Arabidopsis thaliana: one gene and its partners. The protein of the gene in region 2 binds, or shares a complex with, the protein of the main gene of each other region. Each region holds a gene or a part of one and is shown on either strand. Other genes may lie near its edges. The genes, in order: PnsB1, PnsB4, NdhS and NdhT.

Region 1 (8,705 bases), 970 kb from region 2:
GAGGTTTTAGTACCATGTATAAGTGGGCCTTATTATGGCCCATCAACATAAGATTTCCTTTTTATTGAATAACATTTTAAACCCCATATTTTGTTACATATTAGTGTAGAAGCGTGATAACTTTCTGACATTACAGTTTCACCAAAAAATACGCGGTAAATTCGCTACTCATCGAAAGCCAATAAAGAGAGTGAATTAGATAGAAGAGAAGAGAGCTATAATAACTCTTCGCGCCTCGTCAAAATACGCGGTAAATACGCTCCGCATCAAAAGTTAGTTAGTGTATGATTATGGTAACCAACTTTCACAACGGTCCAATCTAAAGGAGTATTCAATCATTCATCCGTCATCTATGGTACTAAGTAGGAACCCTCAATTTCTTCATTCTCAAGTTTCTTCAAGCCCTAGATTTTCCTTAATCATTCATACACTTTCCCACATTTATTACAAATCACTTTAAGTATTTGTTGCCGATCCTTAATTAGCTCTTTTCCAGTTTTTATTTCATATAATTGAGATCTGTTGTGATGTTGTTAGGTTAATTTTTGCATGAAGCTTATGATTGTTTCTCAGAATAATGTACAAATCCCAATACATAAGCGGCCAAAGAGAAAAATTCGTTAGGTAAGAAAATCAAAAGATCGCAATATTTTTCTTTGTTTTCTTCAGATCTATGAATGACATTTAACTTATAATTACAGGTTAGATGATATAGATTCAAGTTCTTCTCCTGCGACTGGAATGATGATGCAGAGAAACTGTTTCGGATTTAACCTAAAGAACCGAGGAGGTGAAAAGAAGAAAGCATCCAAATCTTTCAGGGAAGGAGTTAAAAAAATCAGATCAGAAGGTCTAATAACCATCGGTAAATCCGTTACAAGAGCGGTTTTTCCAGAAGACTTAAGAATAACAGAGAAGAAAATCTTTGATCCTCAAGACAAAACACTTCTCGTATGGAACAGATTGTTCGTCATTTCGTGTATTTTAGCTGTCTCTGTTGATCCTTTGTTCTTCTATCTTCCCATTGTCGATAATTCCGGAAGCAGCTGTATAGGGATTGATACGAAACTAGCTGTTACAACGACGACTCTTAGAACCATTGTTGACGTTTTTTACTTAACTAGAATGGCTCTTCAGTTTCGTACAGCTTATATAGCTCCTTCTTCTCGTGTGTTTGGTCGTGGTGAGCTTGTGATTGATCCTGCAAAGATCGCTGAACGCTATTTAACCCGTTATTTCGTCGTCGATTTTCTTGCAGTGCTGCCTTTACCGCAGGTAAAACAGAGTGAAAAGATCCTTTGATGGTTACTAAAAATATTGGACTTTTGGGATTGATTATGATGTTTTGTGTGGATATTACAGATTGCAGTGTGGAAGTTTCTTCACGGGTCTAAAGGATCGGATGTGTTACCAACGAAAACGGCATTGTTGAACATTGTAATTGTGCAGTATATTCCGAGATTCGTGAGGTTTATTCCGTTAACATCAGAGTTGAAGAAAACTGCAGGAGCTTTTGCCGAAGGAGCTTGGGCTGGTGCTGCTTATTATCTTCTCTGGTATATGCTTGCAAGCCACGTAAGCGTTTCTATGTATATATGACTCTTCTTAATTAGTGTTTTGAGACATTTATTCATCATTGGTCACTTTCTGACTTTACAAACACATTTTGACAGATAACTGGAGCGTTTTGGTACATGTTGTCAGTGGAGCGTAACGATACTTGTTGGAGATTTGCGTGTAAAGTTCAGCCAGATCCGCGACTCTGTGTTCAGATTCTGTATTGTGGGACTAAATTTGTGAGCAGTGGAGAAACTGAATGGATCAAAACAGTCCCTGAGCTTCTTAAGAGCAATTGTTCTGCTAAAGCAGATGATTCAAAGTTTAACTATGGGATATACGGTCAGGCTATATCTTCAGGCATTGTATCATCAACAACATTTTTCTCCAAGTTCTGTTATTGTCTATGGTGGGGTCTTCAAAATCTCAGGTAAGGCGGGGGCAACTCATTGTCATTGGTTCAACCGATAGCTTGTGCAGAGTACTCTTGACATCTTTGGTGTTTTCATGAACAGCACGTTAGGTCAAGGGCTGCAGACAAGTACATTTCCAGGAGAGGTTTTGTTTTCCATTGCGATTGCTATAGCTGGGCTTCTTCTTTTCGCGCTTCTCATCGGGAATATGCAGACTTATCTTCAGTCACTTACTGTTCGTCTCGAGGAAATGAGGATCAAAAGACGTGACTCAGAACAGTGGATGCATCACAGGTCACTTCCACAAAATTTGAGGGAAAGAGTCAGACGCTATGATCAATACAAATGGTTAGAGACAAGAGGTGTAGACGAAGAAAACATAGTTCAGAGTTTACCTAAGGATCTCAGAAGAGACATCAAACGCCATCTCTGTCTGAATTTAGTTAGGAGGGTAAGTTTTCACAATCAGAATGCTAAAATTGCTTGAGATACTAACTAACTATGTGTTCTGTTTCTACAGGTTCCTCTGTTTGCTAATATGGATGAAAGATTACTTGACGCAATCTGTGAGAGATTAAAGCCGAGTCTTTTCACGGAAAGCACTTACATTGTGCGTGAAGGAGACCCCGTTAACGAAATGATGTTCATAATCCGAGGCCGGTTAGAAAGTGTAACAACAGATGGGGGAAGAAGCGGTTTCTTCAACAGAGGGTTGTTAAAAGAAGGAGACTTTTGTGGTGAAGAGCTTCTGACATGGGCTCTTGACCCTAAAGCAGGCTCAAACTTACCTTCTTCCACAAGAACAGTGAAGGCTCTGACTGAAGTAGAGGCTTTCGCTCTTGAAGCTGAAGAGCTGAAGTTTGTAGCAAGTCAGTTTAGGAGACTTCATAGTCGACAGGTTCAACAAACATTTAGGTTTTACTCTCAGCAATGGAGAACTTGGGCTTCTTGCTTCATCCAAGCTGCTTGGCGTCGCTATTCAAGAAGGAAAAACGCTGAATTGAGACGGATTGAAGAAAAAGAAGAAGAATTGGGTTATGAAGATGAATATGATGATGAGAGTGACAAGAGGCCTATGGTTATCACAAGAAGTGAGTCTTCTTCTAGACTGCGTTCAACGATATTTGCATCAAGATTTGCTGCTAATGCATTGAAAGGGCACAGACTTAGGAGCTCAGAGAGTTCAAAGACCTTGATAAATCTGCAAAAGCCTCCGGAACCTGATTTTGATGCTGAATAATCCAATTCTTGATGAGAGGCCAACATCAGAACAGAGACTACATAACTGATTTATACACATAAATGCTCTATATATAGAACTTGTTTCAGAAACTGTAAAGTTATCTACACGAGAGCCAATGATCCTTCAAAGACCTGCATTGCATTTTTAACAGTTCCAATGTCGATATCTGCTAGTTTTCCAGTCTTCGAAGCAATAATTACACAGTTACTCTTCTCTTCTGCATACGGTACAAAGAGCTTCCCTTTCTCTTCTGAAGAGAACAACCCAATACTGGAAGAAAAAGAAGCACACACATGTTAGTTCTTGAAAACATTGAATCAGTACTCTTTATATTACTCAGGTATTCACCATGGTTTGTCTCGCGCATTAGCTAGTTGAATCGCAGCTGTGTTTGTTGCGATGACTCCAGCAGAATCGTTTATCAGAGCAGCCAACTAAGTAAGCTCAAGAAAAGGAATCAAAGTAAGATCAGTGAATTCAACTTTGTTCATAACAAATACAGACAGATAAGCATGCATACCTGTCCTGGTGTTGTGATGAACACTATAGATGTATCATCACCCACAAAATCTTCAACGTTTTCTCTTTCTTTCTCATGTGGAATCACAAAGACCGGCTTGAATCCCCTGGCATTGTTCACAATCATATCTCAGAGAATTTCAAACTAAGCAAAAAATTCACATTTTGAAGGTGTGTAATAATTACCTTACACCCTTTATAATCTTAGCCCATTTTTCAAGTGAAAGTAAACTATCAGCATCTCCTTTTGATTGCATTGATGCCTTAGAATCTGATTCAATACCATGAATCACTATAAACTTCCCCGTCACTGCTCCAGCATTCCTATACTTTGCAGCCACAACCTCTTTCACTTTCCGTGAAATCGATACCCTAAGTGGCAACAGAGGAGTCCTTGGAACACTCCTAAACGGTCTTCCTAACCAATCTTCCATCTGAGTATACCTGAAACCATCAACAGTCAATTTAGACAGGCGATAAAAAAACCTGCAGTTTCTTCGGTTTCAAGGAACTCACATGCTATAACCTAATTCTGAAAGGTTGGTATTTTCTGCTGTAAAGGTCTCGGACAGCATCAGACCAGCTCCTGCAGAGTTAACATTCGGGTAAATGTAACTAACCCTGTCTCGAGCCGTTGTCATGAACAAGAACGCTGCGTGGCCTAACCCTGCTAGCTTCGTGGACAGAACCATGTCATAGTACCTTCCCTGAAACATGACTTAAAAGAAAAGTTAACTAAGCAGTCTGATAAAGGAAAGATAGAAAAAACGTTGAAATATTTGAAAGTTACAAACTTTGAGGAGTCCGATCATGTCTGTGTATTCAGCTGGTTCAGGCCAATGATCATCCGGATCATACACATTGGCCCATCTCACGTTTTTGTTTAGCTCGTATGTTTGTTTTCCTCTTTCAGTCGTTAATATATCTACCTGAACACCAGGATACCTTACAAAACAACAGAAACGTACGGACAATGTTCTGCATTTCAGTTTAAGGTTTTAAAAAAATGTCGAATCGGAGACAGAGTCTTATACTTTTATTACCTGTCTTTGATTAGCTGAATAGTCGGGAAAAAGAGTAGATTCTCGTAAACGCCACCGGAGATAACGCAGCAACATCGTCTAACATCTCCTCTGATTTTCAACGGTAAAGAAGCAAGCTCGACGGTGTAACCCTTTGGAAACTTCAAGAAGCCGTAAGGGTTATCAGGATTATCCGGTGGTCTTGGATCCTCGTCTTGTTTTCCGTCGGCAAACAAGGACCCGTATTCGTTATCCGGGTCTTCACCGCTATCAAACGGGTCGAGCCACGGATTATTCTTCTTCTTGAGATTGACCGATACATCGGAAGATCTCGACGTAAGACGAGTTTGAAAGTTGAGGAAGACGAGTGGTTTGGAGGTAGAAAACGGCGGCGTTTTAAAGAATGGGGAAATGGGTTTGGGTAACAGAGGAAGTGAAGAAGCCATTGGAAGGTTTTTTTGAGCCAAAGAAAGAAAAGTTTGGATTTTTAAATGTTGTGAAAGAAAACAGATCTCTGTAGGAACTTAGGATAAGTGGGTCCCTTTTGTGGCAATTTTCCGACCATAGAAGAAAACTTAGCATTTAATTTATTTATTTTGGTTATGGCAATTCCAGAAATTATTCTCTGTTCGATTAATTAAAACTTTTGTCTTTACATTGGTTGATACGCACGAGCAAAGAAACATTCCTAATCTCAGAACTCAGAAGCATTAACCAACTGATTACAGTAAGCAATTAAACCATTTAACTTGTCGGGTCGAGCAATAAGGACCCGTTTCATTGTCGGGTCGAGGAACAAAAGAACAGAAAAAGCAGAAGAACCAAACGATGACGTGTTAAGTCGTGACTGGTGAATGACCTTTTCTCCTCGTCTCTCTCTCTCGATTTGATTCGTTTCGTCGTCGATCAGAAAAAGCTTCTTTCTTTCTTTTTTTTTTCTGGGTTTTTCTGAAGTCAAAAGCTTTTTTTTTCTTCATTGTTCAAAGATTTTATTTTGTTGCTCATTGTTTCTAACCTTGCTTTTCTCGTGAACACAGCAAGCAACTTGGTTTAGTTTTACTAGAAGATTCCTAAAAATGAGATATTTAGCGGTGACAAAAAAGTTTCATTTTTGGTGCTAATGTAGCTGTAAAGTCTAGGCCTTCCGATATATAATCTCTTGAAATAAGTTTCGAGACTGTTGGAAATAGCAATTTTGTTGTTGTTGTGTGATCCAGTGATAGATCTGTGAAATCAAAAAGCAGTTTTTTGTGAGAATCGGGTCAATGTCGGTTCCTCCTAGATTCCGGTCCGTAAATTCCGATGAGCGAGAGTTCCGATCAGTTCTTGGTCCTACCGGGAACAAGCTGCAGAGGAAACCACCGGGGATGAAACTGGAGAAGCCGATGATGGAGAAGACCATCATCGACTCAAAAGATGAGAAAGCGAAGAAACCAACTACTCCGGCTTCACCAAGGACGACTCTGAAGCAATGCTCGTCTCTTTGCTCTTCGATTTTGAGAAAGAATAGTGCTTCAATGACTGCTTCGTATTCCTCTGATGCTTCGTCTTCGTGTGAGTCATCGCCTTTGAGCGTGGCGTCTTCTTCGAGCTGTAAGAAGGTTGTGAGGCGAAGTGGGTCTGTCTCTTCTACAAGGAAGCTGAGTGTTGGGAAAGAAGAAGAGAAGGTTTCTGGTGATTGCTTCGCTGATGGTCGTAAAAGGTGTGCTTGGATCACACCTAAAGCTGGTAAGCATCAAACTTTCACCTATCACACATTGCATAGTGAGAGAGCTTTTGACTTTAGATGCATTCAAATAAATGAAATGAGTGAAAATGTGAATGTGAGATTGAGTTTAGCCTGATTGTGTGAGATGATAAAGTTCTTATCTAGTTGAATCAAATGGGACTGAATTGAGACAAGGAGCTAGTGTTTTTTGTTTGATCTAATTATGTTCTTCTGTATGTGAATATTAAGTAATTCAATGGCCAACAAAATGTTTCAATTGCTATGTATTTTATTCAGTGAGCATTGTGTAGATCATTTGCTATGTTGCATAACTTATGAAGTAGCTTGTCCTGAAGTTCTCTTATAAATATTTTAACTTCTCAGTGTCCATGAAATTTAGATGAAGGATGTTTTGATTAGCTGATAGATCCACTTCGTTTATGCTTTTAGTGTAAGCCAAACAGCGTTTTCTGGATTCTCTATACTAATGAGCATAAATGTTTCCATGCCAAGAGGCACTTTCCATTATTCTTTGTTGTTCTCTCATGCTTCATATCTTTCTCTGCTGTAAATTGACTAATAATGTTGCGTTTTTCTACGTTGTAAAGACCCGTGCTATGTTGCTTTCCATGACGAAGAATGGGGAGTTCCTGTACATGACGACAAGTATGTGGCATCCTCAACTATTTTCCTTCTATCTGAGATACACTTTGTAGTTATAAGAGTCTCTTACCGCTTGGTTAACTTGTGTAGGAAGCTTTTTGAGTTATTATGCCTCTCTGGTGCTCTAGCCGAACTCTCATGGACCGACATTCTCTCCAGAAGACATATACTCAGGTAACCAAACCAAGTTCTTTAGTAATATGAATTTTGAATTCGCAATATAAACTTCTGATGCTAAGCCAGTAGCTCTGATCTCTGATTGCCTAATTTGCTTCTTATTTGAAACAGGGAAGTTTTTATGGACTTCGATCCAGTCGCTGTAGCTGAATTGAATGACAAAAAGTTAACAGCGCCAGGTACTGCTGCCATTTCCTTACTATCAGAGGTCAAGATACGATCAATCCTCGATAACTCACGCCATGTGCGCAAGGTAACAGAACATAAGCTCACACTTACTGATCATAATTACTGAAAACTTAGAACTTGTCTAAATATTATAATCTGTCTGCCTGTTAATTCTTAACTTCATCCAGATTATAGCTGAATGTGGATCATTGAAGAAGTACATGTGGAACTTTGTGAACAACAAGCCTACACAGAGCCAATTCAGGTATCAGCGCCAAGTCCCTGTGAAGACATCGAAAGCTGAGTTTATAAGCAAAGATCTTGTACGCAGAGGCTTTCGCAGCGTTAGTCCAACAGTTATTTACTCCTTCATGCAAGCAGCTGGACTCACGAATGATCATCTCATAGGCTGCTTCAGATACCAAGACTGTTGCGTAGATGCAGAGACAACAACAACAACGAAGGCGAAGAAGAAGAACGAGAGAGAGAGTGATAAATAAGAGCCATTCTGAAATAAGCTAATTAACGTATTTGAGTACCAATGTTGTTTGTTCTGCTTCCAGAGATTAATTGACACAACGAGGTTTTGTTACCGTGACGTGTTCTTAGTTTTGTATTTTGGTGTTGTATAGATGTATTTTGGTTATCGGTTCATGCATAGTAGAATGTTGCGATGAACTCTTAGACCAGACGTATTTGTGTGAATCGATTACATGCTACATTTTAATTTAGCTTATTTCAAACTGGAAGGAAAAAATTGTTTTGAGTTTAGATTCCTTGATTTTATATCACCGATCGAGTTGTGAAAAAACGATTCTTGATAAATAACGGCCATGCATTGTGGACGTCAAATTCATCTTTGGCATATTCTCTAATAACTTTTTTTGTGGACATATATAATCGAAACCAATGGTTGGTATGTTATATAGCCTTTGGTAGGCATCTCAGTCAAATTACAAGTTTTTTTTTATATTCATCCGGGGATGAACATACAAGAAATGAAGAAAGTACTAGTAAATTCTTAATCTCTTTGGTTTTTTTGTTTCCTCAACTCTTTTCTTATAAACTCGAGAAATGGAAGGGCTATACTAATTAGGTGTCATTGAATCTTGATATGTCAACAAGATTTACGTGTCGATTATAATAAGAAACAGAGAAAAACTTGATATGGTATTGAGTGTTGTCTACTGACTATCGAATCTTACCAAAACAAAAAAAAGTGTACGGATCCCACT
Region 2 (8,253 bases):
AAAGTTTCACATTGTAAAGACAAAATCGATAAGCATTAGATTCCGATGTTTTCGAGCACGTAGCAACATATGTTACCCAGAACACATTCTAGCTATTCTTACAAAGAAAACAAAAAACGTTTCAAATCCAATGTAACGGTGGATTTCATATTAACAACATTTAACATAATAATTCTCTTTTTTCTTAATGATACGAAAATACTAACACGACCGCTTATAGACAGTCAATGCATATAATAAATATGGTGCAAGAAAAAATGCGGTATAAATCGAGAAATATCCACATCACCATGAGTTATGTGACATCGTGGCCAAGTAGAATGTTAAAATAATGTCGTTACAACCAACATTTAAGACGATATCGTTATGGTCTTATGGAGTATGGGCACATGGAAAACGCGTTTCGGTATCGCTTTGCGTTTACATATTAGTCACGTGATAGATATTTAGTCACTTTTTTTTTTTTTTTTTTTTTTTTTTGGAAACTAGATATTTAGTCACTTCATTACTATTATTCTGTCTTTCAACATTCATGTATTCTTCTTTCTTTTTTTCAACGCTGCATTATTATTCTAATTTCTAAGGATTTTTTCAAGATTGATACTATTAATAAATTGATTAGAGTATCAACAATAAAGAAAGTTGGATTCCCTCCCACCTCCGAATTCCAATCTAGAAGATGTTTATCTTTAGAATCCAAACATTTTAGGTGCCTCAAGCGGATTTTTTTATATATAATTTATATACTAATTATTATGATACACTGATATTAGTAGCTAGCTAGTATAAATAAAACACTAAGCTACATATTTAATCAATATGAATTTAATTTAGGTGATACTGTATTAGTGTTTTTATGATTACATAAAGAATCATAAAAGTTTATATTTAAGCTACCAGTTTTACTCATTAGTTAAACACAAAGAATTGATTGGTTCAAAACGGACTAAAACAAGTCGAGCGGAACAACAATTGACCTGTGAATATGTGATTGTAATACATGCAACGCATTTTGTTTATTTTTCTTGAAACATGAGTGACTGAAACATATTATATTCAATATATTGAAACATAGTTTACACACAAATACATCAATCCATGGATCATGGTGGTCTTATTATCATTTCGGTTATAGAAACACGACAATGGGTTCAAGTTCTTCAGTTATATATAATCCAAGCTTATGTGATCTTATTCTTCTTCTGCTTCTTTGCCCTATATTCCTTGATGTCACTTTCTACCTTGGCATTCACACGCGCTTGAAAACCGGGATATGGTTCATACCCGAAAACCGATTGAAGAACCTGTATTCATTCAAACATTTCCACATTAGCTTTTCATGTATTCTGGTTACAGTTTCCACAGAGCAGTATAATAAGGTAGCAGGAGATAACAAACAAATCACAACATAACATAACACCAACAACTTTTACCTCGAGCAACACGAAGAAAGGAGCCATGAGAAAAGCTTGGAGTAAATTGTCTAACAGCGCAGGTGCCCGTTTCTGTGAGTAGACAAGAATCAATAACATATGTGTTAGGACTCATGTATACGGATGACAAGACACAAAGGAGAATCAAAACAATGATTTCTAAAAGCCAGAGAACTTACCTCGAATACTCCATGGCCAACGAACTGCCCGGTCCAACATAACAGCTGAGATGCTAACCCAACCTGAGTAAAAAGACAATTAAATTGTTACAGTATCTACATAACAGAGAGAGTTGGCGTCTTGGTGAGTATTAACTGTTTTCCCCTTGCTGTTGAATACATATAACAAACTAATCAAATGATTCAGACTGAAGATACATATAAACTAATCAAATGATTCACAACACAGAAGATACATAAAAAAGCTCCTAAGTTACAGATGTCTCAAATACTATGGAAGAAAAACCAAACTTTAGTTAAACAAGTGATGTAGATTCTAATTATCTGAGACCATCCAAATGTTGGTGGTCAAGAACAACACTTGTTTCCGTCCAAGCACACATCAAATCCTCTTAACCAATGAGTCAACAACACTAAAAACATGACAAGTCTCCGGACCAAAGAATCAGAACCGTGCAAAGGTGGACAATTGCAGAACAAACTGCAATAACTACTAATCATGAATGTTCAAAGCTAGAGACATGATATTAGTACTGCTGTCTCAACGTTAACAGCTAATGAAGGGACCCATAGACAACAGATAGAGAGGACTAATGATATAAATAAATCTATTTCTTCTTCCCCGAGCATAACCAATGATATAAACGAACTTTCAAGTCAAAGCATAGAAAACAATGAACAATAAATGCATGAACCACACTCACATCATATAAATATACACATAGAGCAACACATGGATACACATAGTCATATACCCTCATAAACATGCTTCTACGCAATTATTTTCTCCAAAAATGAAGTTTTTTCAAAAACCCTAAATTGAAATTAGAGAAAAAAAATCTAACCTTTAAGGCAAGAGAAGATCCTAGTCGAACAGCAAGAAAACTGGAACCAACCCAGCAAGAGAAACACATAAGAGCAGCTACAAATCCAGATTTCTTATCCAAACCGATATAGAACAGAGCATAAATCAAGGCGAATATAAACCCAACGTTAAATCGCAAAACGCCGTCGAGGGTCAACGATTGAGAAAACCCTAATTGAGAGGGGTCGAAAATTGGGGTCGACGAGTGGAGGAGAAGTAAAACTGAGAAGAAGATTGGCCAAACGAAGATGATGTGGATTAGAATGTTGATCGGATTGCTATGGTAAGCACCGTAGAAGGCGAAGTGTTTCTCGAGATCGAACAATCCCATTATGCGACTCATGGATAAAAAATTCGTTGAGGAAGAGGTGTTTTTATGAGGAGAAGATCGGTGGAAATTGGATAATAGTCACCAAACAGAGGAGATTAAAGATATACACGGGAAGAAGACGAAAGTGGAAAGTTTGATTAGCAATTTCCCGAAAATGATGCTAACGTGCGCTTTTTAATAGCTAACATGCGCTTTTTAAAGCGATAGAAGTTGACTTGGCCGGAGATTTTCTTCCGACTTTTGACAAAATACTAGTCGCTAAGAAGAGTAGACGTGTTATTGTGATTGCTAACATGCGCGAATAAAAGCTGGTTTAGATGGATATACATCATTGAAAGTTTGGCAAATAGAACATACACTATTCAACGAATGATGTATTTGGGATGATTGCTAACATGCGCGCATAGGAAGTTGAATTAGATGGAAATATCATTAAAAGTTTGGCAATAGTTGCCAACGTACGCTATTCAACAAATGATGTATTTGGGAAGAGACATAAGCGGAAAGTTTGAATTTCACCAACCAAAGATTTATTAGCAATTTTAGTGTGGTTACTAACTTGCACGTCTAGAGGAGTGAACGTGTTTAGTGATTGCTAACCTGCGCGAATGGAAAGTTTGTTGGACGGGTAAAATACGAAAGTTTGTAGTTGAATTTTGCTGGAAATATCTTTACCACTCTTTAAGGCAAATAGTTGTTCCCAACCTGAGCGTTTTAGAAGGCTAAAATGTGTACTGTGATTGTCTAAATTGGGCTTTTAAAAGACAAAAAAAGTGTTATGCGATGTGATTGCTAACGTACGTTATTTTTTTATTTTGTTTATCACAAAAGTGAAGAGTGGACGATACCAATTCCCTTATCCACACATTTTCTGCCTCAAAAAATCTAATCTTAAAGATTAAAATAAATGAAAAAATAAAAAAGATTACACCAACATTTTTTTTTTTTCTTCTCCATTGCCACCATCAAGAAGTAACAATGGCTGAAGCTTTCACAAGTTTCACCTTCACAAATCTTCATATTCCTTCTTCCTACAATCACTCGGTACATATTATTTTATATTCTTACCAAAAATATTTCATTACGAAAAAAAGTTTAAGAATTGTGTATTGTGTTGTAGCCGAAGCAGAATTCAGGACCGAATCATGGATATTGGCTATCTGTAAGTAATTTTCTCTAACTAAGACTAAAATTAGAAAAAAAATCTCCATATTCTTGTGAATTTACGTCTTAGAATTTGAAAAATTAGAAGAATGTTAATGAGAAGAGGGAAAGGAATTTGATGAGAGGAAGCTTATGTGTAAGAAAGGCATTGCCACATGATTTGCCATTAATGGCTGTGATGGTTCAACAAATAGAAGGAATGCGTGATATCATTACAGAGAAACACGTGTGGCATCTAAGTGATAAAGCTATCAAGAATGTTTGTAAGTTAAACACTTGGGGTTTCTTGAGAGATTTTATTTTCTTTCTTAGACTTTTTTTTCTTCTTTTTCTTATGTTTTGATATTGATCTTGATATGGCAGATATGTTCTACATCATGTTCACTTGTTGGGGATGTTTGTACTTCGGTTCAGCAAAAGTATGAAAACAACAACTCAAACTGAATCTTTTGATACATTTGCTGCATTGGGATCTTAATAGTACTTTGTGATATTGGATCAATACAGGATCCATTCTACGACTCAGAGGAGTACCGTGGAGATGGAGGGGATGGAACTGGATATTGGGTCTATGAAACTGTATGTATCTCTCCCTTTCTAATACTATTAGGAAAGAAAGAAAAAAACTTAGAAATGCATACAAATTATAACTAGGGATGTTGCAATGGACCGACCAACCCGCTGTGGTCTTACTAGACCCTGTGGACCAGTTCAGATCTAGTTTGACCTCAGACTATCCCACCTTGGTCTTAGTAGGCCATGTAGACCTGTTCAGAGCCGGTTTTGAGTACTCCTCCATGTGTCTCAGCATGCGATAAACCTCCCTAAACAAAGAAAAATAGGTGGCTTTTAGGTTAGCGTTTACCGTTGGTATATATGCACCCAAAAATATGAATCCACAACCTTGATCATCTAAACGAAAGTCACAATCTGATAGATGGTAGGTAACATTGATCCATCCTATTGATAGATCAATCATGCTTAGTAAGTTTGAGCCGGGTTGGGCTTGATATAATAATTCAAACGTTAACAGATCTGATGGTAGGTAACATTGATCCTAAGTTGGGTCGGGCTGGGCTTGCTCGGGCCATTGACCTTTGGTATATCATCACAGATTCACAATGTGTACAACTATTATAAGATTGGATAGAGTTGTTATTGTGTTTTGGGTTATATGATGCAGCAAGAAGACATAGAAGAGAAAGCAAGAGCGGAGCTATGGCGTGAAGAACTTATCGAAGAAATTGAACAGAAGGTTGGTGGCTTAAGAGAGCTTGAAGAAGCTGTTACTAAGTAGAAAACTAACTTGTGAATCATAAACCACTTTACATACACATTATATATTTTCTTATATCAGTCATGCAACATTATATATACTCTCTAGCTTCCATATATATAATATATGTTATGTACTTCTTTGTTGTCTTGTGTTCTGAATCATTGAACGATCATGTTAGGAGCAATTGTCTCCTTCAGAAATTTATTGTTGACGACATCCGATGTCTTAAAAATATAAATAATTATGTTTGGTAAACTATCTTAATTTGCTTTTCTTGATTTCTTCGGTCGCAAGTTGGTCAGAGTGAATATTTATTATTTTTAAGTATAAAAAATTTAGTCAATTGGGGCTAAATTAATTGGTCGTATAGACTGGAAAGTGAGTCTGATGAGGAACAATTAGCGGGAAATACGCTTCTGCACGATTCTACCTGACAAAAACCAAAACTAATCAATCTTTAAAAACAAAAAATAAGTTAGCAGAGGTGAAGAAGGAGAGCTTGTCATGTCTTTGTCAGTAACCTTCGTGCTTCCATGTTTCAAAGCCTCTTCGAGCTTGTAATTGTAAACCACACGTGTGGTTTATTGTTTTTGTTTTCTTTTCAAATTTAAGTTTAATTTTCAGATATTTCTTTTTTTTGTGTGTGTGTTAGGAACACATGACAGGAGATATGATGTAACATTTTTATTTAAACAAAAAAAAGATCTGCATCACTGCATGTAGTGTATTTTGTCGTGTGTCAATTAATTCTTATAGTTGTACAATTTTAATTCTGGCCCAAACATGATTGATGACTTGTTAATGACACATATTTACCATATTCCATTATAATTATTTTTTTTCATTATACAGTTTCATAATAATACATTTCAATTTTCGGTTACCAAAAAACACCATTACACATTTCAACACAAAATTTATACTATCATACGATTATATAGACAATCTCGTTTCCGTCAGCCTCCTTGTGGATCTTGAATGTTCAATCCACACCTCCACATTTTGTAAGTAAGATCTTGAAACTCCTTCTTCAAACCTCGATCTATCTGATTAATAATGAGCGTAATAAAACGATTTTCTCAAATGAATCTAGTACCATCCATGCTACTGAGTCTCTTGTTACGCACTATACGCAGTCGTCTCATCTCCTTCTCGCTGGAGGATATCACTATCAGCATTTCTCTCCTTGAGTTTTACTTTGGTTCTATCAATTCACCTCATTAGTTGTGATACAACTCATAGTTATCTCTTTTAATAAAATGTTATATTAGCCTTTTTTGGTGTGTTTTTGAGATTTTCATTGTACAATGTACACCTTTTTTTTTATTTGGTGTAAAGTTTAACATTAAACCAAAAAAAAAAAGGATATAGACAAAATTACATGTCAACATTTTTGTGTCCTTGAGCATTCTAGAACGACGAGAAAGAATCAACCAGGACCGAGTCCCTTTACTTACCAATCTCTCTCTTCAATACACGCCAACGAAGACTTAGCTGGCTTTTTATCCACATGTGCATTGCATTGACCAAGTCTCTGTCACAGCTCCCATTTTCTCCACGTGGCACCCATTAATGTCTCATTCTCGACTTCATATACCACAGCCCCGTGACCAATGAATTTCCTCAAACTGAGATTTTATTACAGACAGATCTGTGTACTTTTATTTTATTACCACTAGACGTGTCCACTGCGTGTACTGTACCGAGTAACAAAAAGAGAAAATAAAAAAGGAATGAGAACACACAACAAATCAAATTATAGCTTTTATTTCGTCACACCTTTCTTTTTATTTAGTTAAGGAAAATGAGAAAATTATCCAATATTGAATGTTTCTAAAGCAGATATTAAAATACGCGGTCAAAATTCTCGCTTTATAAACACATCTCTTCTTCTTCTAGCTTTCATCAATCATCATCATCACTCTCTCTCAATCCAACAAAGAAAAAAAAAGTCTTCTTCTTTTTTTACAAGTCTGAGAATTTTCTACAGAAACAAAAATCTGATTGTTTTTCCCACTTTGCATCTGTTTTGAGGATGCCAGCTACGGATTTTCAAGGATCATTTGGAAGGTCGTTGCTAAGTTTACGGCGAGACCAAGTTGACTCATCAACAGTCGTCTCCGGAAGTAGTAGCCACCACGAGCCAAGCACCATGGAGGTTGAGCTAGATTCGTTTCAAAGACAAGTCGCTGAGAAATTCATCGATCTCAACGCTTCTTCAAACGACCTTCTCTCTCTCGAATGGATCGGAAAGCTTCTTGATTCTTTCCTCTGTTGTCAAGAAGAGTTTCGAGCTATCGTATTCAACCACCGATCTCAGATCTCTAAATCTCCGATGGACCGTTTGATTTCAGATTACTTCGAACGGAGCATCAAAGCTCTAGATGTCTGTAACGCCATCCGCGACGGTATCGAACAGATCCGTCAATGGGAGAAACTTGCCGATATTGTGATCTCTGCTTTAGATAGTCACCGTCCGATCGGAGAAGGTCAGCTCCGGCGAGCTAAGAAAGCTCTGATTGATTTAGCAATCGGAATGCTTGACGAGAAAGATCATCCTTCTGGAACCAATCTAGCTCATCGTAACCGTTCATTCGGAAGAGTCAAAGACAGTCACCACCGTTCGATTGGTCATTTCAGATCTCTTTCTTGGAGTGTTTCAAGATCATGGTCAGCTTCTAAGCAGTTACAAGCTTTAGCGAGTAACTTGGCAACGCCTCGACCAAACGATGTCGTTGCTAGCAATGGTTTAGCTGTACCGGTTTACACAATGACTTCGGTTTTGCTTTTTGTGATGTGGGTTTTGGTAGCTGCGATTCCTTGTCAAGACCGTGGATTGCAAGTTAACTTCTTTGTGCCTAGGCATTTCCAATGGGCAGCTCCGGTTATGTCGTTGCACGATAAGATTGTTGAGGAATCTAAGAGAAGAGATAGGAAGAATTGTTGTGGTTTGCTTAAGGAGATTGATAGGATTGAGAAGAGTTCGAGGTTGATGAATGAAT
Region 3 (7,102 bases), on a different chromosome or scaffold from region 2:
CATAAGATGCTCCAACTTTAAAACGCTGTCGTTTTTGCATTTCGACAACAACCGTTGAGCTTCATGCTTTGTCATCTTGATCTTAACCCTCACGACCTCTTCCTTCCCTTCAACCATTTTCAAACTCTCTTTTTCTTCCAGAGGATTCTCCTTTGGTTTGAGTTCGTGATCATCATCAAAACTCACCGTCTTCTTTGGCTCGAAGATCTTATTATTCTCTAACTGAAACCTCACAACCTTACGTGGCTTAGCCAGAGGCTTTTTATTCTGTTCATCTTCTTCCTCTTCGCCTTCTTCAAACCTCAGCGATTTGTCAATCCTCTTGGCTCTCTGCAAGCACCGAGACTTTTTGGTCGATTCTACTGAAACCTCCTTTGATTCGTTCAGAGGCAACGTTATGTCTAAGTCGTCTCTGTAGATAGGTTTTGCTTCTAGAACGTTGTCGTACCTTTCTTGAAGCCTGTTGAAGCATTTAGCTAGAGAATCCATCATTTTCTTTTTTTTTCTTCTTCTTCAACAAATAGGGAGAGAAAGGTTTTGTGTTATCTTGAAAGTTTTTCTCTATATAATAAATTTTCGTGGGGCAGAGAATTATATAGGCGACCAACTTTACCATTATTCGGACACGTAGTGAAGTGTGCTTTGGGGTAAGAAGATGACGTCACTTTGCCGTGGGATACTAGAATAGTAGAATTTAATTATTCAAGTTTGCTTTGCTTTACTATGCAAAAAGTGTAAGAACCATCTATTACGTTAATATCTTATAAGCATAATCAAATAATACAAAACAATTGACAAGTCCATTAATTTACAGTCGATGTTGATTTACGGGAAGGTTATATTGAATTGAAGATAACTGGTTAAATTGTAAGAGATCTGAAGGTAAAAATTAGAGATAATCAGTTTTTACCAACGATCGTATAAGTATCTGCGTATGTGAATGTAACCATAGTCTATTGATGAATTTAAGGTAAACCAAGGAAAAGTGATTCTATTGCATCATTAATCAGTCAATAAGCTTTACCATGACTTTAAAGTTTTCTCTAATGTTGCTCTTCTGGAAATGACATTAAGTAAATCGGTCATCTTTATCCAATTTTTAATTATTATCTAGCGGAATAATCAACTACAAGACGTTTTCATATATTTTTTTACAAAAAGAAAACCAACTTTCCACTGAAAAAAATTGGTGCCGTGCCACTGGCGGCATATGACATGGTCAATTACTTCATTTTGAACTGGTCTAACTAAATAATTGAATAATATTTACAAAACCAAGATAAAAAACAAATACGAAAACAAGTGTATATTTGTCACAGATAACAGATTCTTTATGTAATTTGGCGTAAAGTCCGTTCGTCCAAAACCAACCTATTCACAATGTACAATTAGGTCAAGTCGAGTTTTAAACGAGGAAAATTGACAGTATTTTGTATAAGCGCTTCTTGATATGAGAAAGAAAGCCTTGCACAGCAGTAAGGCTGCATAACAAACACGATCTTGGTCATTACTCAAAATCGGAAGATGAATTGAATTAAGAAACTCATACACACCCAAAACAAGTATGTATCTAAGTATCTTCCATTACTAGAAAGTTCAAATCCTCTATTATTGTTTTCTCAATTTTTAAAAAGGAACAGTTACTAGTATAGGGAGATGATTTCGTACGTGGATATTCAACAAATGACGTTACACTTGATTATGAAGATACCAAGTTTGTGGAACCATACTTGTTTTTTTAATCGTTGTCATTTATGATGATAAAATAACAAAGAAATCACATTTAGATTTTTGTTTTTGTTTTTGAAAGGTACAATATCAAGAGAACATGGAAAGTTGTATAAATTCAGGCGAATCCAGCAATATATCAAAACGTCTATGGACTCATTTTTGAAAGTAACTTATCTCATATTTATAGTCGTCTTCTACATTAGAGTTTCAAGTAAAGGTGCTTATGCAATGGCAAACCTATCTCCACCCGTTCGAGTATATTTCTCTCTTACCACCAGAGGTTTTTGCATCTCCTTTAAGAGTTTTCTAACGAGTTTTTTTTTATGTGTAATAACTGTAGACTTGCGTTCTGAGAGTTGGAATCAAGTGTTGCAAAGGCTGCCAGACAAAAGCAAAGAGAAAGTTGCTAAATGTCTCTGGTAATAGATCCACTAGTGAAATATTGTTAAAGCTATAGTGTTGTTATAAATATTCTAGCTAATATTATTTTCGAAACAGGGGTGAGTACAGTTGAGTATAACGCAGAACAAGGGCTCTTGACAGTCACAGGTGATGCCAACCCAACAACATTGCTTCATAAGCTTACGAAATGGGGCAAAAAGGCAGAACTAGTCTCTTTTCTTGGAGACAACTACTCTTCCCATGTTCCTAGAACCCCGGAACAAAACCAAAACAAGACAATGGAGAAGAAAAAGAAGAAGCCAACAAAGTGTTGTCTTCTAATGTGTTTTGGAAATAAGAGAAGCAAGAACACAAAGATTGAGCCTATGGCGATACCAAACTGGCAATATCGAGGAGTAGGAAATGAAAATGGCAATGCCAGGCCTTTCATTAACGCGGCAATGTCACCTCCAATGGTGTATCCTCCTCCACAAGCAGTGCCTGGCTTCACAACACCCATACCATACCCTCCTCCTAGTTTTTTTCCAGGAAGACCACCACCACCATACACTGGTGCTGGTATGTTCCAGTCAGCTCCACCACAATCCCCACCATATTTTCCAGTTCCCAACCCTAGGCTGCATTACCCGCACCACTGATACAGTTCTTTCAGACGATACATTCATTGCCTGTTTCTTCTCTTAGCTATGACTCAAATGCTGAGTAATAATAAGATGGTAAATTCTTTTCAACATGTAAGGTATATGAAGAAATGCAAATGAATGATTTCCACAATAAGGCAGACTAGAAAACACATATAGACAATTAACTTGATAAACTTTTTTTTCGGCCGGACTCATGTTTTAAATGATACCAAAAATAAACATATCTTGTTGGGAAATTAGTAAATATTTTATCAATTTATTAGGATTTTTTATAGAAACGTATATATTATTTAGTGTAGACAATAGAGAGAAACAAAGAAGTGGTTAATACTTTTATTGAGATAACGCGTTGAAAGCTTACCAAATTTTGGTGGATTACGACCAACCACCCAAAAAGATTTTTACGCTTGACTAAGTCCTGGTTCTCTCTTAGTCTCTACCCTTTGCTATCAAACATTCAGTCTGAATCTGAGATTAACATAATTATGGCAATTAATGGCACTCAAACAAAAAACACGATTGAGTCAAAAACAAAAAAGAAATTCCTAGTTTGATTTTTATTTATGGTTTTGACTTGAGAGGGATTTTTTTTGTCCCAACAGAGAAACGAACATTGTGAGGCTTTTAAATGGGTCATATAGACTTATCTGGGCCTAACCACAAAAAATGGCCCACTTTTGGAGAAACTTTGAAAATAAACCCGAAGGTTCGGGAAAATACAGAGAGAGAAAATTTCCAGTCGCCGTCGTCAACATTCTCCTTTTGGTACACAGACGAGAACGAAAGAGCGAAAAGAAGATGAACGTAGTTCACGGTTTGAAGAGGATTCCTCGCATCAAATTCCCTCAGAGACATATTAATCCTTCAGGTTTTCGATTATCCATGAAACTCTCTACACAGAATCTATGTTATTTTTTCCACAATTTTGCTCGGCTTTTTCTCGCTTGATTCGAATTTTTTTTGTGTACGGTTTCATTTTCATGAATCAGATATGAGATTGTATTCATTTGGCTGTGAATTTTTGCTTTCCGATCTATTTCGCTCTGATTGATTTGCATTTACATAGTTAGATTCAAAGGATACACAGATTTGTTTAGCCATTGAATCGAATCGTGTTTGTTATCAAATCTCGAATCATTATAGAGAAGCTCTTATGTTTTTTAGCTTTTGGTTTGGGTAATCATCTGTTTGTTATGCGATTTACTTTCTGGCATTGCAGCTTCAGAGGGAAAGAGTCAGGTGGCAAATGAAGCTGATACATTGTTCTTCTCCAATTTGAACAACATCCAAAAGACTACTGGCGGGAAGGCATCATCGCAGCCAAAGCGCACGCCAGTTTCAAACGAAGAAATGGAAGCCATTTTGGTATGTAACTTCATTTTGACATGTATAACAACACTTAGATGAACATGTATCTAACAGTATAATGTGTGACCAACTACTAAGTTATAATTATGTGACCAATTACAAGTTGAGAGAACCCTTTTCATGATTTAATAATATTGTTCTGTTTCTAACTTCCTTATCCTTTTCTGAATTTTTTTTACAGTTGGGAGGCTGCATCTGATCATTTCAACATGATCTGTTGACAAGAATGGTGGATCACTTCTCATCTTTACCATTTACAGAATATACTCGATAGTCAAGAAGAAACTGATATGGTTGATGTTTACAACAACCAATGATAACAATAAAACTACTCCATTGCAGTTTTTAACTTCTATACTGATTCATCATTGATTGAGTGCATTTGAATCTCTATTATTAAGTGCTTTATGATTGAAATTCATCGTTTATTCTTTTTTTTATATCACATGATGAAGCTCTTTTAGAACCAGTCAGAAATATTGTAGCCTAAAACGCAAAGGTACGTTACATATACATTCACAGGAACTTACATACAGAGAAGAGAAGATCACTTATGGTGCTGCCTCTTCCTTTTGCATCTGTTCGATAAGAGGCTCGAGAATACAAGACTTTGGATTCTTACCCGGTGGACCTTTTTCTCTTCGTTCAAGCTCTTCAAGCCTGAAAGTAATGAGACGGTCCCAGTTTCCTCCTTCGAACAAGACACCAGCTTTTCCATCAGTGATCCTCTGCACAATTCCACAATACATGTGATACGGACTGTTCTGGTTCTTGACTATAGCAATCATCCCCGGCATGAGAAGGGGTAGCTTGGGCGCTTTCGGCTTCTTATCTGTAGCAACCGCGGATGCATCGCTTCCTTGTTTTGCAGGTGGTGGTGGTGGAGGAGGTGGTGGATTTTTTTCGATAAACGTTTTTAAACCCTTTTCGCCACCGGGAAATCCTCCTGTGAGACCCATCATCTCTTTCTCGAAACCATCTTCAGGTACTTTAAAAGACAAGTTACTGTCATCGCTCTCTCTCTCTGTCTCGTTGTTCTCAGCCTTTGATGTCTCTTGCTCGTCTTCAATGTTCCTCTGGAGCTCCTTCTCAATACCTTTCTCTCCGTTGCATAATCCTCTTCCTCCCATCACTTCCCATAGATTGAATTTACCCATGGCCTTTACTTGATACAGTTTTGACTGCTGTTTTGGAGGCGGGAAAACCGACCGGTTTACAGTTGAAAATTGATGTGTTTGGCCTAGAAATTTTGATCGATGAATCGGAGTTCTAATGGTCGGGATAGTGATCGAAGAAGTCGCCATAACTATTTTTGCCTGCAGAGTAGAGTAGAGGTGACTAAGGGAGATATGAAGAAGATGGAAGAGGAAGGAAGAAGCGTGTGATTGATTCGCTTGTTATAATGACCACATATCATGATTTCAGTTAGATGAGTTCTATCTATTTCCAAATTACCAGTGGACCTGAACCGGTTAATGCGTAACCGGTGTTTGGAATAATGATTTAGGAGAAAGAGTAGGAACATTTGGGCTTTGTCATAAGTTTAACCTGGACCAAGTTTGAATATTCTTAAGAGATATGGGCCTAGATTAAAAACAATGGTAATGTAATTAAACATATTGCTAAATGCTAATAATGTGGATTTGTTTGTTTATTAAGAAAAAAGCAGCAAGAAGAAGATAAATCATTTGGGTCAACGACATTAATAATTGGAATCCCATACTCCCAAATCATAATTAGACATACACTTTTGTCTTAGGCTGTCCTTTACACTCATCGGCATCACCAAATACTTAGTTGGCAACTTTGATCAATTAATGTATTAAGCATGAATGAAAACAACTTTTACATTGATTCGATAAATTCATTATATTGTAGATAAGATTAGTCAAAAGTTTACAAACATTCGTTAACAAATTACAAAACTTGTAATATCTGCAGCAATGCCCATGTGGGTAGAGCTGGCTGACGCAACCTAACCGGGGGATAAAAGCGTCTTTTTGGTACCAAATTTAAAGTTTCTTTATGAGTAAAATTCCCAAACCCAACATCTTCTTCCTGCTGAAGCAGTAAGCACTCAACCAAAAAACCAATTGCGTAAACACTTTCCCTTGAATACAGAGATCACATTCGATCAGGTAAAAACAAGGTCTCGATCTTCTCTTCAGTCAATTTTTTCAAATTATTCGAGGTTCCCGTCATTCGATTCCGACTTCCGAGCTTCTATTTCTGCTCAATGTTTTTGTATTTTGTTAGGGTTTCCAGAAAATTCGATTCTGTTGTTTTTAATTTGAGCTAATAAAATCTAGAATGGGAAAAAGAAAGAGTTCATTTTCGTCCTCTTTCTTTTTGTAGAAGCTGAACTTTGTTTTTCTTTTACAGCGAGCTGATTTCTCACAAGGGATATCAAAATTTCTGGTGAAGTGGGATTGTAAAATTCGGCGTTGAAAGATATATAAAGAGGTATGTTTGATCCTCAGTGAGGAATAAGGATTTTTAGTAGTTATATATCTCTCCAAGTGATGATACATACATACTTGTGGATTAGATCTATGATAAGAATAAGCATAAGATAGAGACTGAGAGACAAGTCATTTAGGGAGATTAAATAATGTTCATGGAATGCTAAAGTTCATATAGGAGTTTGTCTCATATCAGAATCTAGATTAGATCATGCTCAGATGACATCTCTTGAATGGACAAAAAAGTTTTTAACTATGTGATTTTTTCGACTTCTTTTGGGGAATCAATGTACTACAAGCTGAGAGTTTTAGAGTAGTTTCATCTCTGGCTAAGCTTTGATTCATTTTCTAGTGGAAGGTTCTGGAGTCGTTTCAATTCATGGATGATGGTACTCCTAAGAAGCTAAACATATTACCTGATCACTTTAGTGCTCCTAGTCCCACAGCAGAATCTTCTCAGCACGATACTCCATCATCTTCGCAGCCAAAGGACGA
Region 4 (7,876 bases), on a different chromosome or scaffold from region 2:
TTAGCAGTCATTTTCCTTTTTTATCAGATAACATTTACTTTATCGACTCTACTTTCTTCATACACCATCAACAAATGTAATATGTAAACATTTTTTTACCCTGCTAATTCGTATATTATCATGATATTTTCAAAATTATCGATAATCCAAAGTTATCAGCGACATCTTCTTTCCTGTTTTCAAAACCATGGTAAAAGTTTTGTTATCGACTGTTTTTTTCAAAAAAATGATAAGGAGCTATATATATATATATATATATATATATAGGTACACACCTAAGACTTAAATGCTTTGTGTCTCTTTCTTATAGGTACAATATATCTCGCGGAAGAAGGCTACTGATTCTTTGTTTGTATAGGGGCAATTATGTCATATTTAATTTACAAGAAAATTTCCACCTAAATAACTAAATGATATGTGTAGATCCTTAATTATATATTCTTCCATGTATAGATATTTCATTCACCCTTTTGTTTATCATTCATAAACTATAATCCGCAGTAGTGCGAATTAAAAAAAAAAAAAGTTTGCGGTGTACTAACTACAGATAACTTTTACGTAGAATTTTTTTTATCCGCATGCGATTTATCGTCCGCTCTAAAAATAAAGTGGTTTTGTCTGTTAGCGATTTAGTGTGCTTTTTTCATTGCATCCATTGAAACCAAAATAGAATACAATAGACTAAGGCCTTGAATGTTTTGTAGATTTTGTAAGAGTTTTTAGATTTTGTTTTTCAAAAACTTATTTTTATACCAATCAAGATTATAAAATTTTGGTTTCCCTACAATTTAGAAAAACTATTTTGTTGTAGTTTTTGATTCATGATTTTAATTTTATAGTTTTCCTAAAACTTAGGGAATCTAGTTTTTACTCCATCAACGTTATTTTTCTCAAAAACTAAAAACCAATTTTTTGGGGTTTTTAAAACAAAAATATAATAACAAAAATCTAAAACTAAAATCTAAAATCTAGAAACTAAAATCTAAATCCAAAAACTGAATCGAAAATCAGCATCCATTCAGGGTCTAAACCAAAAATAAATCATCGAATCATAAATAATTTTTAGTTTTGATGGATTTTTGAGAAAAAAAATATTTAAAAATATTATTAATCTTGAATTTTACAAAAGAAACTTGAAGTCTAAAAATATTATTAATCTTGTAAGGACTGTCAAATGCTTTTAAAGTCTTAACAGTCCAATGTCAATCACCCCCTAAATAAATACTAGTGGTCATAGAAGTAGGAACCACTTTCCCCTATCTCCATTTTTGTATGAATCCATGATTCCATATTCACGTCCATGTTGTATACCCTATTTAAGTATAAAAATAAGAAGATAATCACATAATTTTTCTACCAAAAGACTATTGTTCTTATCAATTTCCATATCCTTGTTTTTCATTTTGTATCAGAACAAAAATTCGTACAATGACTACGAATAACAAGGACACACTTGATCAACTTAAAGTAAGCTTTGACGACGTCCAAGAGAAGCTCGTGAAGATGCATGTAGAAGTAGAAGTCAATGAGAAATTTGCTCACATTGAAGCCTCGCTAAAACAGTTCATTGAGACAATGACAACACAAGCCATGTTCCAAATCAAAATGTGATCGACGACATTTAGTACTTAACCGTTGACGTCTCAATTTGGGTTTCCAGTGAAAGGCTTATAGTGCTTAGTGTGCAGACAATTTTGGCTTCTTCACGTGCTATCACCCTTCATTTACTCAAACTAGTCTGAAAGAACAACAAAATCCTTTATCACTTCATCTAGTTCTATTAGCTTATGTGCGTTTGTTATGCGGATGGACTGAAGTTTGCTTGATAAATTATGCTTCATGTTTTTCTTTTGTCATGGGACCATTTATAGTCTTTTGATTATACTCTTAAACTGTTTTCATTTTTAGTGAAATATTTACATCTTAGGAAAAAAAGAAAAAAAAACGTAGTCAAAATGTGCATCGAACAGTTCTAAGGAACACGTCTAAGGAGGATTGAGTCAGGTGCTACATATATATAAGACTTGATAAAAGGGTATTGTTGCAAAAGGTAGTGAAAAAAGGGTAGTTTTGCAAATCTCCCTAGTTTTTATTCCTACTATACTTCCCAAACTAGTGAATTCCGCATTAGTTATCAAAACTACTATTTTGTTCGCTTTGTTTTATATAAATGAGACTATTTGGATTAGCTAGGTAAGCATAACAAAATATAGCTCTAAAACAATGTTTGGATAGCTTAGAAAAAATCCAAAAATAACACACACACAAAAAAGGTGAGGAACAGAACCACTAGACCACTTTATTTTAGTTCAAATGATCTTATAATCTGTAATTGTTAATCTTCCATCTACATATAAACTATATGAATTTTCCAAGTATATACAAAGCTCCTTACCTAGTAAGAAGGATCTTTGAAAACAATCACAAAAGCTATACAACAAACAGCGAATAATACGATCAAAATATCGAACGTGAGAGCAGTCATTGCTTGATCACTAAGCTCCATGTTTCTTCCACCTAACCGGTCAACCATATCAGGTATTGATTCATAGCCCCTAAAATCTTGCTCTTTCGGATCCTCTAGCTTCATTCTCATTTTCTCAGCTTGACGACTCGCAACTTCTTGAGCCAGTGTCCAGTCATAAAACCTCCGAGTCTCTTCATCGCTCAAAACATTGTACACTTCTCTTAATTTCATGAACTTTTCTGAAGCTGTTTTAAGTGGTAGTGAAGTTGTATCTGGATGATACTCTTTAGATAATCTCCGGTACGCAGATTTTATCTCTTCTAGATCAGCATCCGTTGAAACACCTAAGAATCTGAAAATGATTATTGTTACATGTTACAATACATATTGAAAAATAAAAATAAAAAGATATGTAATGAGAATGTTTGTTTTGCTCACTGGTAATGAGAATCAAAAGAGTCTTTGATTAGTTCTGCAAATTTTTCGTCACTAAGGAGATTGGTTTTGTCCTCATCAACCGATTTGGCCGGGTCGGATCTTCCTCCGATCCAGCCTTCGTCCGGGCTTTCCCAGTGGATTCTTGTGTCTACTCCTGGAGATGGTTTTGACGGTTTAGTCGGGCCTTGTGACGCGTATATACGCGTCACTCTTCTTGCTGTTATCCTTCTAAATGCTTTCGTGTCATCCGTGAAATGCGCGCCGTTTTGGATTTTGGGTAGGATAATGCATGAGGTTCGTGCATAGGTAGAAGTTGCATAAGCCATGGCTCTGTGTTGAAGATGGTTTGTTCTTTTTTTTTCTGCCCTTCATGTTTTTGGTTTCTCTTACCGCAGAAACTTGTTCCAGAACCTCATGATATGTGTGGTGTAGATTTTCTTTATATCTTTTGTTGTCCTATCTAGTGTCCATAGGAACAAAAAATTTAAATAATTAAATGTCAACAAAAAAAAAGTATGAAACGTAAAGATATAAGAGACAAAACGTTGAGAAGAGAGGGGCAATGAGAGGAAGAAATAATGTAGAGATAAATGATTTCTTTCTTTGGAAGCGATGTCTAAATATGTTATGCAACAAATGTGTGCGTTTGTAATATATATAGGGTAAAAATAGACAATTGTATCATAATTAGGATATGACCCGCGATATACCGTAAATTAAATTTATTTATTTATTTTTCTTTATCACAAAATATAATTTGTTGTTTGTTGTTGTTTGTGATGATTAATAATTATCGATAAGGTTGTGTATGTTTTTTATTGAGTCACAATTATGATATTAATAAGTCTAATATATGTTATTTTATCTTTTAGGATTTGACTTGTGATAGACCATACCACGGGATAATATTTTATTTTATTCATAATTTGTTATAAAAAAATTATTTAATATAAACTTTTGGTGTTTTCAAATTTAATCCATGGAACATATGTAGTTTAGTAACTTTATATTAAAATTACACATTTAAATGTATCAAAGAAGAATAACATTTAGAGGTGTCAAAGAAGATTAACACTTATACTAAAATGTTGATTTTATTTATTTTTTTGTAACTAAAAATTTGAAATTAAAATTGTATTTGTTATGTTATTATTGTTTGTTTTGTTTACTATTGTATAGTTGTAATTTGATTGTTAATTCTAGGAGTACACCCGTGGTATCCAAATTTTTCCCATCTAAACTCATAGCACCATATAATCTCGTCTCATCCAAACCCGTCCTACCATGTAAACTCGTCTCCTGTAAACCCGTCCCGCCATATAAATCCGTCCCGTGATAACTAAAAATCAAATTGTTCTTTTTCTTTTTAATAATATTTTTATTTAATATACTTCGAGTCGGTTTACAATTTCAATTTAAAAAGAAAAATTGTATAATATATTGAAATTTTAACAATTTCAATCTAATAAGAATCAATATCGGATCGTTTCGAAGATTTTATATCGAATTCTTTGAACAAAAAATAACACAATTTCTTGTTAAATATTTTGTATCTTTTAAATTAATGTATTTCCTATTTGTATATTTTATATTCAATATATTTGGTTTTGATATAAATTAGAAAATCCGTTTAAATAATTATTAAAATTTGAATCCCGAAGATATTTATGTGATTTTTTATAATTTAAAGATTGTTGTTGAGATTTTTTAGTGTCTATTTTTTGTTGCATTTATTTGTTTGCAAGGTCTATCATAATTAAGGTGAAGTTACAAAAAGATCTGTAAAGTATAATATCGTTCACATATTGATTATAGAATTATTTAGATTATTTTTAAAAAGGAAAAAATTACAACATATGCCATATTTTTTCCAATCCTTATGCAATCTGCCATAATTTGCTGGGCCTTACAACTCATGTCATATTTCATACTGAAATATCGATTTTGTCCCTCTCCATTTCTTCTCTATTTTATCTCTCCTTCCTTGAAATCTGTGCGCTTTAACCATATATTATTATCTTCCCGAAGATGAAGCGCTTTTGTCACTCTCTCACTTTCTTTGACAACCTGCACAGATTCTTTACATGTAACTTTCAATTAAATTTGTCTCTCAATTTTATTCATCACAATATTTCTGTTGTATCTAGATCTTGTCCTTGATTTCATCATTTTTTACCATCTATTTTGGTCCACAGATTAGTTGAGCATTATTGTTTTCACCGACACGATTTTTTTTTCTTCTATTGTAAAACAACAAAAATATTCAGTTATTACATATTATCTTGTCTATCATTCGATCTGACTTTGTCCCCGATCCAATTCTATTACTCATTCGATATGAACTTGTCCCGATATAACATATTATTAAAATATGTTAACGTGTAGGTGAAGACAATAACGCTCAACTAATCTGTGGATCAAAATAGATCGCAAAAATTTAAATAAAATTCAAAATTATTAAATGAGAACAATTGCATATAAGATGTAGGATTCATAATAATAGAGCAAGATGGTGAAATCGAGGACAAAACGTAGATGCAAAAGAGAATTTCTATTCGAGGACAAGATCTGAAGACTAAAACAAAAGTCTTGCTCCAATTGTTCTCCGCTAATAGGTAATCATGTCTCCTAACGCATTATATATTACGTTGTCCCCCGCTATCAGGTAATCATGTCTCCTAATGTATTATATATTACGTTGTCCCCCGCAGAATTTTGGATAACCAATTTGTTTAAATAAGTCATTTTTAAATACCCAATAACAACAGTAGAAGCCAGTTGTTCTCCACTATTTTGTCCCCTAATTCTTTATTCTTCCAGCATGATTTTTCGTCTTGTATCATTACATCAGCCAAAAGCTGTTATGTCACCATCTTCGTCAGAGCGCTGACCCACCTTAAGGATAATTTCGTCCACTGAATTCCACGTGCAGCAAAATGTGGCATGAGTTGGAAGGAGTTACAGAATATGGCAGGGATTGAAAGAAATAGAGTGGAATATGGCAGATTTTGCAAGATTTCCTTTTAAAATTATTTTGTAATTATATGTTTAATTGAAGAAAGATTCTTTTTTTTTTCATGATGCCCTTTTTCAACTCTATCCTTTTATTTTATCCATTTTCATTTCTACCCTCTTTAAATTTTTAATGACCATTTTACCCTTATTTGGAAATTATTTTAGGTTAACAAAATGGAATCTTAATATTTTTTCGCCTAAAATATTCCAAAACAAATTTTCCGCCAAAATTTTCCCGTCAAAAACATTTTCCGCCAAAAGTTTTCGGAAAAAAAATTTCCCGCCAAAATTATTTTTTCAAAAAAAATGATCCCACAAAAATTTTTTTGGGAGGGAAATAGATTTACAAGGGATTTTAAAAGATTTACAGGGGATTTTAAAATGGTTTTAAAATATGTACTAGGAATTTAAAAAGGAAAATTTACAAGGGAATTTAAAAGGTTTTTAAAAGTTTTACAAGAGATTTTAAAAGGGTTTTAAAAGATTTACAAAGGATTTTAAAAGGGTTTTAAAAGATTTACAAGGGATTTTAAAGGGATTTAAAAGATTTACAAAAGTTTTTTAAAGATTTTTAAAGGTTTAAAACTGTTTTAAAAGGATTTTAAAATATTTACAAGGAATTTTAAAAGGTTTTTAAAAGATTTACAAGGGATTTTAAAGGGCTTTAAAAGATTTACAAAAGTTTATAAAAGATTTTTAAAGGTTTAAAATTGTTTTTAAAGGATTTTAAAATAATTACAAGGGATTTAAAAAGGGTTTTAAAATATTTACAAGGGATTTTAAAGGGCTTTAAAAGATTTACAAAGGTTTTTTAATGATTTTTAAAGGGTTTAAAAGTGTTTTGAAAGATTTACAAAGGATTTGAGATAGTGAAATTGATTTGGGGATTTAGGGTTTAAATTTGTTTCAACAGACAAAACGACGTCGTTTGTCTTTGCAATAAACGACATTGTTTTGTTCTAACAGAGCAGATAGACGGAACATTAACGTCGTAAAAAATTATGTTAACCTATTTAATGGGAAGTCAACAAAAACTTTGTCATTTATTTATAAAGTCAACAAAAACTTTACGATTTATTTGTTTTCTCTGAAGTTTAAGATTAAATCGTCCCAAATTTGAAAGTTGGTGATTTTTTTGACATTTTTCCCTTTTAAAATCCCTTGTTAATCTTTTATAACCCTTTTAAAATCCCTTGTAAATCTATTTTCCGCCAAAAAAAATTTACAAGGATTTTTAAAAGCATTTTTTCGGTTGAGGAAAAATTTGTTACGAAAAAAAATTTGGCGGGAAATTTTTTTTTTGGCAGGAAAAAATTTTGGCGTAATTTTCTTTTTGCCGGAAAAAATAAATTTTGGCGGGAAATTTTCAGTTTCCAATTACATGTTCCTATTGGATGAATGTAATTTGGTCATTTTATTCAAGGGAAAGAGTATTTTTAAAAATGGACAACATAAAAGGGTATTGTTGAAAAAAGGTAGTAAAAAAAGGGTAGTTTTGCAAATCTCCCTAAAAAGTTTGGAAAATTATAATATTCAACTTTTGATAAAAAGTTTAACTATTTATAATTTTTGAAACTTTGTAAAGTTTCTATTTTTTAAAATAAAGAACCCGAGTAAAGCGGATAACCACTTTAATTTTGGATGCCTGATAAATCAAGCTTCCTGCTTATTCTTAACCGGAATCATTTTGGTCCTTTTTATAGTATGGCTATGAACCAATGTCCAATTTTTTAAGCAATGTGGGACATTGTACACATATTATTTCTTCATCGATTGAATAATATATGTCCGTTTAAAAAAATTTGAATTACATAATATACAGAAAATATAATATTTTATTATCTATTTATATTTTATATAAATTCAAAATAAATTAAATATAAGATCATATAAATTTGAAAGAAAAATCATATATTTATGTTTAAATTAGGTAAAGATTTAGAAGGGAATTAGTTA

Evidence for each region.
Region 1: PnsB4 (region 2) and PnsB1 share a complex: the UniProt entries of both Arabidopsis thaliana proteins name them as parts of the chloroplast NDH complex.
Region 3: PnsB4 (region 2) and NdhS share a complex: the UniProt entries of both Arabidopsis thaliana proteins name them as parts of the chloroplast NDH complex.
Region 4: PnsB4 (region 2) and NdhT share a complex: the UniProt entries of both Arabidopsis thaliana proteins name them as parts of the chloroplast NDH complex.

The regions. Positions count from the first base shown.
Region 1 is NC_003070.9:5,485,809-5,494,513, reverse strand, and holds PnsB1 (NDH-dependent cyclic electron flow 1), read right to left. Parts: upstream 5,370-8,705; 5' UTR 5,201-5,369; coding exon 4,776-5,200; intron 4,678-4,775; coding exon 4,527-4,677; intron 4,440-4,526; coding exon 4,249-4,439; intron 4,177-4,248; coding exon 3,919-4,176; intron 3,840-3,918; coding exon 3,734-3,839; intron 3,648-3,733; coding exon 3,562-3,647; intron 3,484-3,561; coding exon 3,315-3,483; 3' UTR 3,211-3,314; downstream 1-3,210. Other genes in the region: CNGC7 (cyclic nucleotide gated channel 7), read left to right, coding at 578-624, 702-1,275, 1,363-1,575, 1,674-1,987, 2,073-2,421, 2,491-3,210; AT1G15970 (DNA glycosylase superfamily protein), read left to right, coding at 6,020-6,482, 7,071-7,128, 7,216-7,299, 7,414-7,555, 7,659-7,970. UniProt on the Arabidopsis thaliana protein: NDH shuttles electrons from NAD(P)H:plastoquinone, via FMN and iron-sulfur (Fe-S) centers, to quinones in the photosynthetic chain and possibly in a chloroplast respiratory chain.
Region 2 is NC_003070.9:6,456,839-6,465,091, forward strand, and holds PnsB4 (NDH dependent flow 6), read left to right. Parts: upstream 1-3,564; 5' UTR 3,565-3,786; coding exon 3,787-3,852; intron 3,853-3,928; coding exon 3,929-3,970; intron 3,971-4,005; exon of another isoform or gene 4,006-4,057; coding exon 4,058-4,235; intron 4,236-4,335; coding exon 4,336-4,391; intron 4,392-4,479; coding exon 4,480-4,551; coding exon of another isoform or gene 4,552-4,626; exon of another isoform or gene 4,627-5,005; coding exon of another isoform or gene 5,006-5,011; exon of another isoform or gene 5,012-5,155; coding exon 5,156-5,269; 3' UTR 5,270-5,506; downstream 5,507-8,253. Other genes in the region: AT1G18720 (ER membrane protein, putative (DUF962)), read right to left, coding at 1,182-1,304, 1,434-1,505, 1,613-1,675, 2,458-2,820; AT1G18740 (ROH1, putative (DUF793)), read left to right, coding at 7,287-8,253. UniProt on the Arabidopsis thaliana protein: NDH shuttles electrons from NAD(P)H:plastoquinone, via FMN and iron-sulfur (Fe-S) centers, to quinones in the photosynthetic chain and possibly in a chloroplast respiratory chain.
Region 3 is NC_003075.7:12,415,897-12,422,998, forward strand, and holds NdhS (NAD(P)H-quinone oxidoreductase subunit S), read right to left. Parts: upstream 5,569-7,102; 5' UTR 5,450-5,568; coding exon 4,697-5,449; 3' UTR 4,518-4,696; downstream 1-4,517. Other genes in the region: AT4G23880 (uncharacterized protein), read right to left, coding at 1-492; AT4G23882 (Heavy metal transport/detoxification superfamily protein), read left to right, coding at 1,657-1,714, 1,811-1,986, 2,072-2,150, 2,230-2,771; AT4G23885 (uncharacterized protein), read left to right, coding at 3,576-3,645, 3,997-4,142, 4,327-4,344; AT4G23895 (Pleckstrin homology (PH) domain-containing protein), read left to right, coding at 6,987-7,102. UniProt on the Arabidopsis thaliana protein: NDH shuttles electrons from NAD(P)H:plastoquinone, via FMN and iron-sulfur (Fe-S) centers, to quinones in the photosynthetic chain and possibly in a chloroplast respiratory chain.
Region 4 is NC_003075.7:5,928,922-5,936,797, forward strand, and holds NdhT (Chaperone DnaJ-domain superfamily protein), read right to left. Parts: upstream 3,555-7,876; 5' UTR 3,232-3,554; coding exon 2,906-3,231; intron 2,820-2,905; coding exon 2,396-2,819; 3' UTR 2,189-2,395; downstream 1-2,188. UniProt on the Arabidopsis thaliana protein: NDH shuttles electrons from NAD(P)H:plastoquinone, via FMN and iron-sulfur (Fe-S) centers, to quinones in the photosynthetic chain and possibly in a chloroplast respiratory chain.